2 linked regions of the Drosophila melanogaster genome follow. The protein of the gene in region 1 interacts with the protein of each later gene in a pairwise test. Each region holds a gene or a part of one and is shown on either strand. Other genes may lie near its edges. The genes, in order: CG17260 and Prosbeta2R1.

Region 1 (4,355 bases):
CCAGCGAGTCTCCTTGCTCGGCTTCTCACGTCGCTTAGGATGCGACATCTTTATAAAACAATTCTTTCACACTGTGATAGTTAAATTACGTCTACTCAATTTAAAAATGATTTGTGAACTTGGGAAAATTTCGTAAACAAGTTGAACATATTGTCCTGACAACGAAAACTGCCGGCCGGGGTGACTTTCCCTATCAACCATTATTATTATTAGGATAGAATCTATTGGGCAGATATTATTTTTTATACCGCCATTTGAAAAAAAAACCTTTATCCCCTAATAACAAAGACTGTCGATTGCATTCAAAGCACAGCTTGATCCAGTTTAATCGTTATAAAGTTTCTATAAATGCCATAAATATTAGATAAGTCGATAAGTAACAAAAATTTTGTGGACTTTGCAAGCTTAGTTTAGCAGTATATTTCGTAGTAAATTATGTGAACTTTAGGCTTAACCGGCGGCAGGGTCCTTCTTGGTTTTCTCCTTTTTGCCTTTCTGCTTCTCGGCGGCGGCCAACTCCAGATCAATGGGAGCGGGCTTGACGAACGGAATCTCATCCTGGAACTTCGCCGGCATGTACTTCTTCAATGGCTCCGGCACCTTGATGCCCGTCTCTGTCTGATGGGTCTCCAGGATGGCGCAGATGACGCGAGTGGCTGCGCACATCGTGGCGTTCAGCATGTGCACATAGTCTACGGCGGCGTTCATCTTCTTAGTCTGGCCGAAACGGACGAGCAGACGACGGGCCTGGTAGTCCAAGCAGTTAGAGCACGAGACAAGTTCCCTGTAAGCGCCGCTGCCGCCGAACCAGGCCTCGAGATCCAGCTTCTTGGAGGCAGCATGGTTGAGGGCACCGGAAACGATGTTAACAACGCGATATGGAATGCCCAGCGACTGGCAGAACTGCTCCGCATTCCCGATCATCTCGTCCATCATCTCCCACGACTTGTTGTCGTGTGGGGAGGTCAGTACGAACTGCTCCACCTTCTCGAACTGGTGGACGCGGAAAATGCCGCGAGTGTCGCGTCCGTGCGAGCCCACTTCCTGTCGGAAGCAGGTGGACAGACCAGCATACTTAATGGGCAGCGAAGACTCCGGTAGCCATTCATCGCGATGGTAGGCGGCGATAGGCTGCTCTGAGGTGGCGATCAGGTACTTCTCATCGATGCCCACCTCCTCCGCCTTCTCGCTGCCCTTGCCCACCACCTTGTAGAGCTCCTCGTCGAACTGTGACAGCTGGGCCACCTCCTGCATTACCTCCTTTCGCATGAAGAAGGGCGTGTACAGGGGAACGTAGTCACGGGCGTACAGCAGGTGCAGAGCGTGCTGGATAAGAGCCTGCTCCAAAAAGACTGCGGCTCCGGTAAGAAAGTAACCACGTCCGCCGGACACCACGGCTCCTTTCTCCGCGTTCATGCCGTCGATCATCACGATGAGGTCCACATGCGAGTACTTGCCGCGCTTTTCGCAGTCGCCAAAGGTGCGCTCCACGCGGTTCTCGTCCTCGTCGTTAGACACAGGCACGGACTCGTGCAGGTGGTTGCCCACCTCCCGCAGTGAGGTGTTCCTCGTCTGCTCGGCAAGCTCTAGCGACTTCTGGTTCTCGGTCATTGCGTCGTCGATGAGAACGCGTAGCTGCTTGATCTGGTTGACGGTCAACGGCTGCAGTGTCTCGGCTACAATCTCTGTGAGGTCCTTGGTCACGTCTGCGGGCAGGTCCTCGCTCATGGCACCAACCGGCTCCTTCTTCTTCATCTTCTCGCCGATCACCTTGCTGCAGACGTTCTTGACCTTGTTCAGGTTGTCGGCACGGTGGCGGCACTGACGCCACTCCGTATCCTTGGCGATCACAGTCTCCACCAGCGCCACATCCTTGAAGCGCTTCTTTTGATTTTCGCGCACGAGGTCCGGGTTGCCCCCCTTGTCGCTGCGAAACAGATCCAGATCCAGCACCATTTTAGTTACCCTTTATTTCAGTTTCAGTCGCGTATTAGCTTCGATTCTCTCGCGTTTCGTCGGCGTTTTCACAACGTGGCTAGGCTTTTCGTCAGCTGGGCAGTGCTGGAAAGCGATGGTGGTAAGTGCATATTTTGGCTGAGATTATGACGAAGTTCATTCTTGTGACTCATCAAATTTCTAAGTGCTTCTGAAAAGTTAACCCAAGAATTTTATAATGTTTTTTTATATTTTCTGTTTAGTTATTTCCCATAAGAAATACCCTTTATAACCAGAATAACATAACTGACAATATAAATATCGCTTAAAACGTACACTTTATTCGTCATCATTTGAAACATACATGTCAGCAATTCACAACACTACTTGCTTTTAGCAGCTGTTCAAAATAGTCCAATAGGAGGAGAACAGCAGCGAATTCGCAACAGATTCCGACTTCAACAATGAGCTTTATTGACCAGGAAGTCACGGAGTTCCGAGCAAAATGTGAGAAGCAGGTGCCGCACACGAAGATCATTATTTGCTCCAACTCGCTGATCCGGGTTGACATATACCCGGAGCGGCCGAATCGCTCGATGACTATGTGCCTTCGATTTCCAGAAAACTACCCGCAGAGCACCCAAATTCTGGTGGAGCTGAAGAGTCGTGTGTACTCCGAAATGCTTCTGACGGAGCTTACCCGGCTGATCGACGACTATGCCAGGGATTTCATCGGGAAGCCACAGGCATTGCAAGTGCTGGCCTTCGCCCAACAGTATTTAACTGATAATCCGCTGTGCGTGTGCTTGGAGGAGATCAAGCAGCTGAGAGCGGACATCAAGACTGGAGGCACGGAGAGCCAGTTGAAGCTGAAGCAGAAGAACAAAAGCGTGGAGCTGGTCGCCAAGGGCGGACGCTACACCTACAGAGTAATCGCTGTTGTTCCGGACAGCTATCCCATGCAGAGTGTGGAGCTGCGCGGTCAAGATTCCAATCTCCCAGCCGTGCTCGTGCGTTACCTAAACGGCCAGTCAAAGGAAATAGCCCGGCAGTGCGTGGAGCCACCGATCCGTATGAGCAAGGAGGCTCTAGCCAATTTTCGGCCTGTTAGGAGTCTGCAACGCTCGCTGAAATTCTGCCTGGAAGCCACCCGGGACTTTCACACCGAGCGTTGTCCCATATGTGATAGTACCGTGCTACCCGAATACCCAGAGGACATAGAAACGGATGACAATGCCGACTTCTTCATCGAGCGCGTCTACTGTGGTCATCTCTTTCACCAAGGCTGCCTTAAGAAATACCTATCGGAGCCTCCGTTTCCAAAGGGTGGCAAATTATGTCCCGCCGCGCGTCGCCATCCTCGTTCCGATGCCCAGACCTATATGGGCAGGTCACAGGGAGGAGGAGCCACCGTTTCCAAAACTCCGGAGGACACTGTGTGCGGCATCAAGCTGGCTCACGATCGGTGGGTGGTCAGCGTAAAGACCGCAGAGGCGCGCTGGGCCCAGAAACAGGCTCGCCAAAGAGAACTGGAGGAGGTGGTCGACTTTCTGCAATAACAGATGATCGACTCAAGAACAGCTTACTGTGTATGGTTATGTATTTTGTGATTTCTATTCGAATACGCTTATATTGCTAAAGATTAAATAAATAAAGTGAAGATGAAGTGCGACTAGGTTGGTTTGGGCAAGTGTTTCGTCTATCCTGTTAACGCAATTGAGCACACTGCGGTGTTACAGTCTTTTTTAAAGATTTAAAAATAAAATAATAAATTAACTAGTCTAAGGAAAATTTTCAATCAATTTTCGGTTTAGGTTGTGAGAATCAGGCAAATGCTCTTATCAAATTCTGCGAAAGTGTTCGAGGAAACTTGTTTGTTAGATGTACGCCTAAGTTTTAGTTACAGAATTTTAGATTGCAACTATAACCAGGCTTGGTAGTTCGGTCTAGGATGAAGAAATTTGCTGGAAGCCCTTTGGTGCAGGCTTATTTGGCTAAACTTCAGAAATCCGTTACTATTTCGTCGTCCTCATACCGCTTGATGGGATCTCCCTTGATTAGTGACGAAATAAGGCTGTAAAGACAAGAATCAGATAACTTCGTAGAGATGAACATGCAGTTTTCAACGTCTAACTCACCAGTACAACCCCACGAAGAACATAACGAAGTAGTAGCCCAGATAAATCATACAATTTCTCAGATGGACCTTTAGCAATCCCCGACTGTGTATGTCCACCGGATCGTAGACACCCAGACTATCGCGCCGCTGGCGATGCAGCTCGTAGAAAAGCCAAATCACCATAGGCAGGTTAAGGAGAAACATCACCCAGTGGCCTCCGAGTAACAGAAGCACGCAGAGCAGGGCGTGGGATCCGAACTTGGGTATTACCCAGAAGTTGAGGCGTCGGCAGCACTCCTGG
Region 2 (3,929 bases), on another chromosome or scaffold:
GATGTGTCCATTATCCTGGTCGCACTTTCGTCGCTCAAAAGCCGCACAAATGTGCCAACTACACTGAATTCAGCGACATGGCTTAAAAGGCCGTTTGTCCTTTGGCAGGATGTTGGACGTTGAACGTTGAACGTTGCATGTTGCATGGATATGGTTGGATGTGTGCTAATAGCGCAGTGCAGTGGTCCACAAGGATGCAAGCGCCATTCGAGTGGGACTAGCCAGTAAATGGGAAATGGACAGCAAGGCAACATCAAAGGACTCATCATGGCGTCGTTTTTGAAATTGGCATCGCTCCCTTTGTGTTTGTGTGTGTGAGTTCTCAGCTAACTGAAAGTCATTAGCATGCTAAATATTGGCAGCAGGCTAGGCGAAAATTTCCATTAAAAAACCGCACTTTGACTATAAAGAGTGAGAAATGGAAAAATGTATCCAGTTTGCTGGATAGTTCTTATTAAGTATCTAAGCAAAAGGTCAGCTTCTCAGAGCCATTCGATAACTTAAACACCAGTTACTTAATCAATAACCAGATGACATCGAGTGACTATCTTATTTATTTATGGCGTTATTTGCGGCAACCCAAATAAACATCCACCAAACGGGCCCCAAATGACTTTATAATCTTATTAAATTTTAATCTTCCAATCAGCTAAGGACGCAACCTTTTGTCAGTGGCGGCATTTCACCATAATTATCCTGGGCAAAGTTACGGCCACATAAAATGAAGGGAAACCCTAAAAAAAAAGAAAAGAAAAGAAAAAAAAAAGGGATTCCCATGGAGGGCAGAACAACCTGTTCGATTTCTTTTTTTTTTTTTTTTTGAGGGTAAGTGCGGGCGTCAAACTTTTCCAATTGCTGTTAACAAAACAGAAATCAAAATTGAATGCCAAGTCTTGATTAGTTTTCCATTTTTAGGCCTGCCATCGGATGTCGATTCTCGCCGAATTTTCGCCGTCAGGTGTTTGTGCTGCCGCCTAATTGAAAAGCCAACTGCTGTCCAAAAACGGAAAATCCCGGACGAAAATATTGCGAATGGCAGTGGTAAAAAAGAAAATTACTCTAGCTGCATTTGCATTTGTTGCAAAAGTTTTGCGGCCCTAAATTGCGGAGGAAAAGTTTTTCGAGGCTTGAAAAAGCGAAGGATGAAAGCTCTTCTAATTGTAGGCACTTTAAGAATCCCTGTTGATTCAGCATTTTTCTCAAAAACATTTCAATTAATACATATATCTCACTCTTCGTATTATCTGTATGTAAACTCTTTTTTTTTTTTTTAATTGAATAACATATACATGAACGTAATATGGCGAAGTCCTTTTGGTGGTTTGGTAACCCAACTGAAGTGAAGTGAAATCACAGCTTGAAGTGAACATTGCAATCGTCGCAGTTTGCTGGCCAAATGTTGATTAAAATATAATTGTATTCTAATTAATGCTAATTGATTTGTGCCACATGTGCTGGTGTCGGCCATCTGAAACTGACCAAGTTACAAGGACATATTCCCATTCCCATTCCCATTTCCATTTCCACTCGCTCGGCTTGAGTATCCGTGTCCTTGGATTATGGAGCACCCACACGAATGCAAATGCAAGTGCAAATACAAATACAAATACAAATACAAATACAAATACAAATACATATGCAGAGCTGTCAGTTCATATTTGTGCGCGTGAGTGTGTTTGTGTGTGTGTGTGTGCGTGTGAAAGGACACACATTCTCATGTCAGATGGACAAACTTTCGACCACACACGCACGCCCACGCACACACACACACTCAGGCAATCGCACTCACATGCAGATTCGTGGGCTAGGCAACCAATTAAGCTTTGTCAAATTGTTTGGCATTTGAAGTGCAGTTGGTAAATGGGTGGCATTGGGTGGAAATGGGTGGAAATGGCTGCCGCTGCATCGATAACTTTTCACCGGTCACTTTTTTATGATGGTCTTCCAAACGAGTGCACATTTCCGATTTCTTTACGCTCAAGCACATTTCCAATCGATTCCAAAGTATTTCGTTTTAAAATCCTTCTCTTCATTAAGCGAAAAAATCAATTGTCATCATGAATATGCAATTTTTAGACTATTTATGGGCTCTCAGTGTTTGCAGGCGAAAAACATAAAACTTGTGACTATAATTCGTAGAAGCAAATATTAAACTTTGTTTATTTTTTTAACCATTGATAAGTTATCTTTGATTTTACTGTCTAGCTAACGCACTACATTATATATTTACATACATCCGCACGATGCTCTTTCCTTTTTCCGCCCGAAAGGCGAATACATCCGCTGATTTTGTTGGCTTGCGGTCCGGATTCAACTTTATAAATTGCAGGCGGTAAGAGACATGTTGATCATTATGAATATATCCAAAACGAATAGATTTTCTCCACAGAAATGCCGAGCTTTTGTCCAAGGGATATGAGCCACCGAAGGCGATCAAAACAGGCACCTCCATTGTGGGCATCATCTACAAGGACGGCGTTATCCTGGGCGCCGACACTCGTGCCACCGAGGGACCCATTGTTTCCGACAAGAATTGCTCAAAAATTCACCACCTTCAGGATCACATATAGTGAGTACCCAGCATTCGCTTGATGCGCCTTTGAAAATGGACCCCTACATATCTGCATTACCCATTCGCAGCTGTTGTGGCGCGGGCACCGCTGCCGACACCGAAATGATTACCCTGACGACCAGCGCCGAGCTGGATTTGCACCGGCTGAACACCGAACGACGGGTGCCGGTAGTCTGTGCGAGCATGATGCTTCGCAGGACCCTCTTTCGCTACCAGGGTCACATTGGTGCCGCCTTAGTGATGGGCGGCGTGGACACGACTGGGCCGCAGCTGTACTGCATCTATCCGTGCGGTTCCAACGATAAGATACCCTACGCGGCCATGGGCTCCGGCACCTTGGCAGCCATGTCGGTGCTGGAGCACGGCTGGAAGCCCGATCTCGACCTGGAGCAGGGCAAGCAGCTGGTCCGCGAGGCCATCTCGGCGGGTGTGTTCAACGACCTGGGCTCCGGATCCAATATCGATTTATGCGTGATCACCGCAAAGGGAGCGGTTTACCTGAGAACCGATACGATTGCCAGCGAGAAAGGCGAGCGGTTGGGCAAATACGGCATTAAGCCCAACTCCACTATGGTCACCTCGATCTCCGTGCTGAGTCTGCAGGTCACCGATGAGCGAATCTATGCAGTGGATGATCAACAGCCGGGCACCAGTGGCGTTCAGTTGGATTCCCAGCAAGCGGATGAGGAACTGCCCGAAGGATCGCAGACTAAATCACCATAGACATCCATACCATATATTTCAGTTCGAGCAAATTAACCGTTAAATAGCCACATGGCTTTACATAAATGTTAATGCATTCACAGAATGCAAAGATTGCCTAGAAATTCTGGCATCATGTTGTTGCTTCTGCGACTCTGGGCTGCCAGGAACATCAGGCGTTTTTCCTAGGGGGCATAGAATGTGCGGGAAAGTTGTAAAGTTGGTCATGCCCACTAGAGAGCACTGGCCAAAAATTCAGAACAAACGAACGGAACTCCCGTGGTATGGCAGTCAAATAAATCAAGAGATGTGCCAGCTCTTTTCTCACAGTGTAGCTGGTTGCGAATCCGAACCCGTCGCGTGGCCTAGCATTCTGCTCGAAAATTGTTTGAATCTCTTCGCAATTCCCAATGGTTGGACTGCCATCAATCCGGCAAAGCATCTGGGGAGTCCTTTTGGCGGAGAATGCGGTGAATGGATTTGAAGGAGGCCAGGTGTTTGTCCGCCCGTAATCGGGATCCAACTTCACTAGCATCCCATCAGGCGATGAACTGCGAGGACGTGTAAATAAGGCCAGGAATTCGAAATGGGGATGCACAAGATACAGGATACAGGACTTGGGACTAGAGAACTGGAACTCCGGCGGAGACCAGCA

What was found.
Region 2: the proteins of CG17260 (region 1) and Prosbeta2R1 interact in a two-hybrid assay, tested with the Drosophila melanogaster proteins (one large-scale study listed by BioGRID).

Annotation. Positions count from the first base shown.
Region 1 is NT_033779.5:3,035,195-3,039,549, forward strand, and holds CG17260 (uncharacterized protein), read left to right. Parts: upstream 1-2,035; 5' UTR 2,036-2,077; exon of another isoform or gene 2,078-2,209; intron 2,210-2,216; exon of another isoform or gene 2,217-2,335; 5' UTR 2,336-2,399; coding exon 2,400-3,494; 3' UTR 3,495-3,599; downstream 3,600-4,355. Other genes in the region: CG17258 (uncharacterized protein), read right to left, coding at 1-48; SerRS (Seryl-tRNA synthetase), read right to left, coding at 451-1,956; cnir (cornichon related), read right to left, coding at 3,937-4,009, 4,074-4,355.
Region 2 is NC_004354.4:5,806,763-5,810,691, forward strand, and holds Prosbeta2R1 (proteasome beta2 subunit-related 1), read left to right. Parts: upstream 1-2,191; 5' UTR 2,192-2,243; coding exon 2,244-2,332; intron 2,333-2,389; coding exon 2,390-2,569; intron 2,570-2,640; coding exon 2,641-3,295; 3' UTR 3,296-3,396; downstream 3,397-3,929.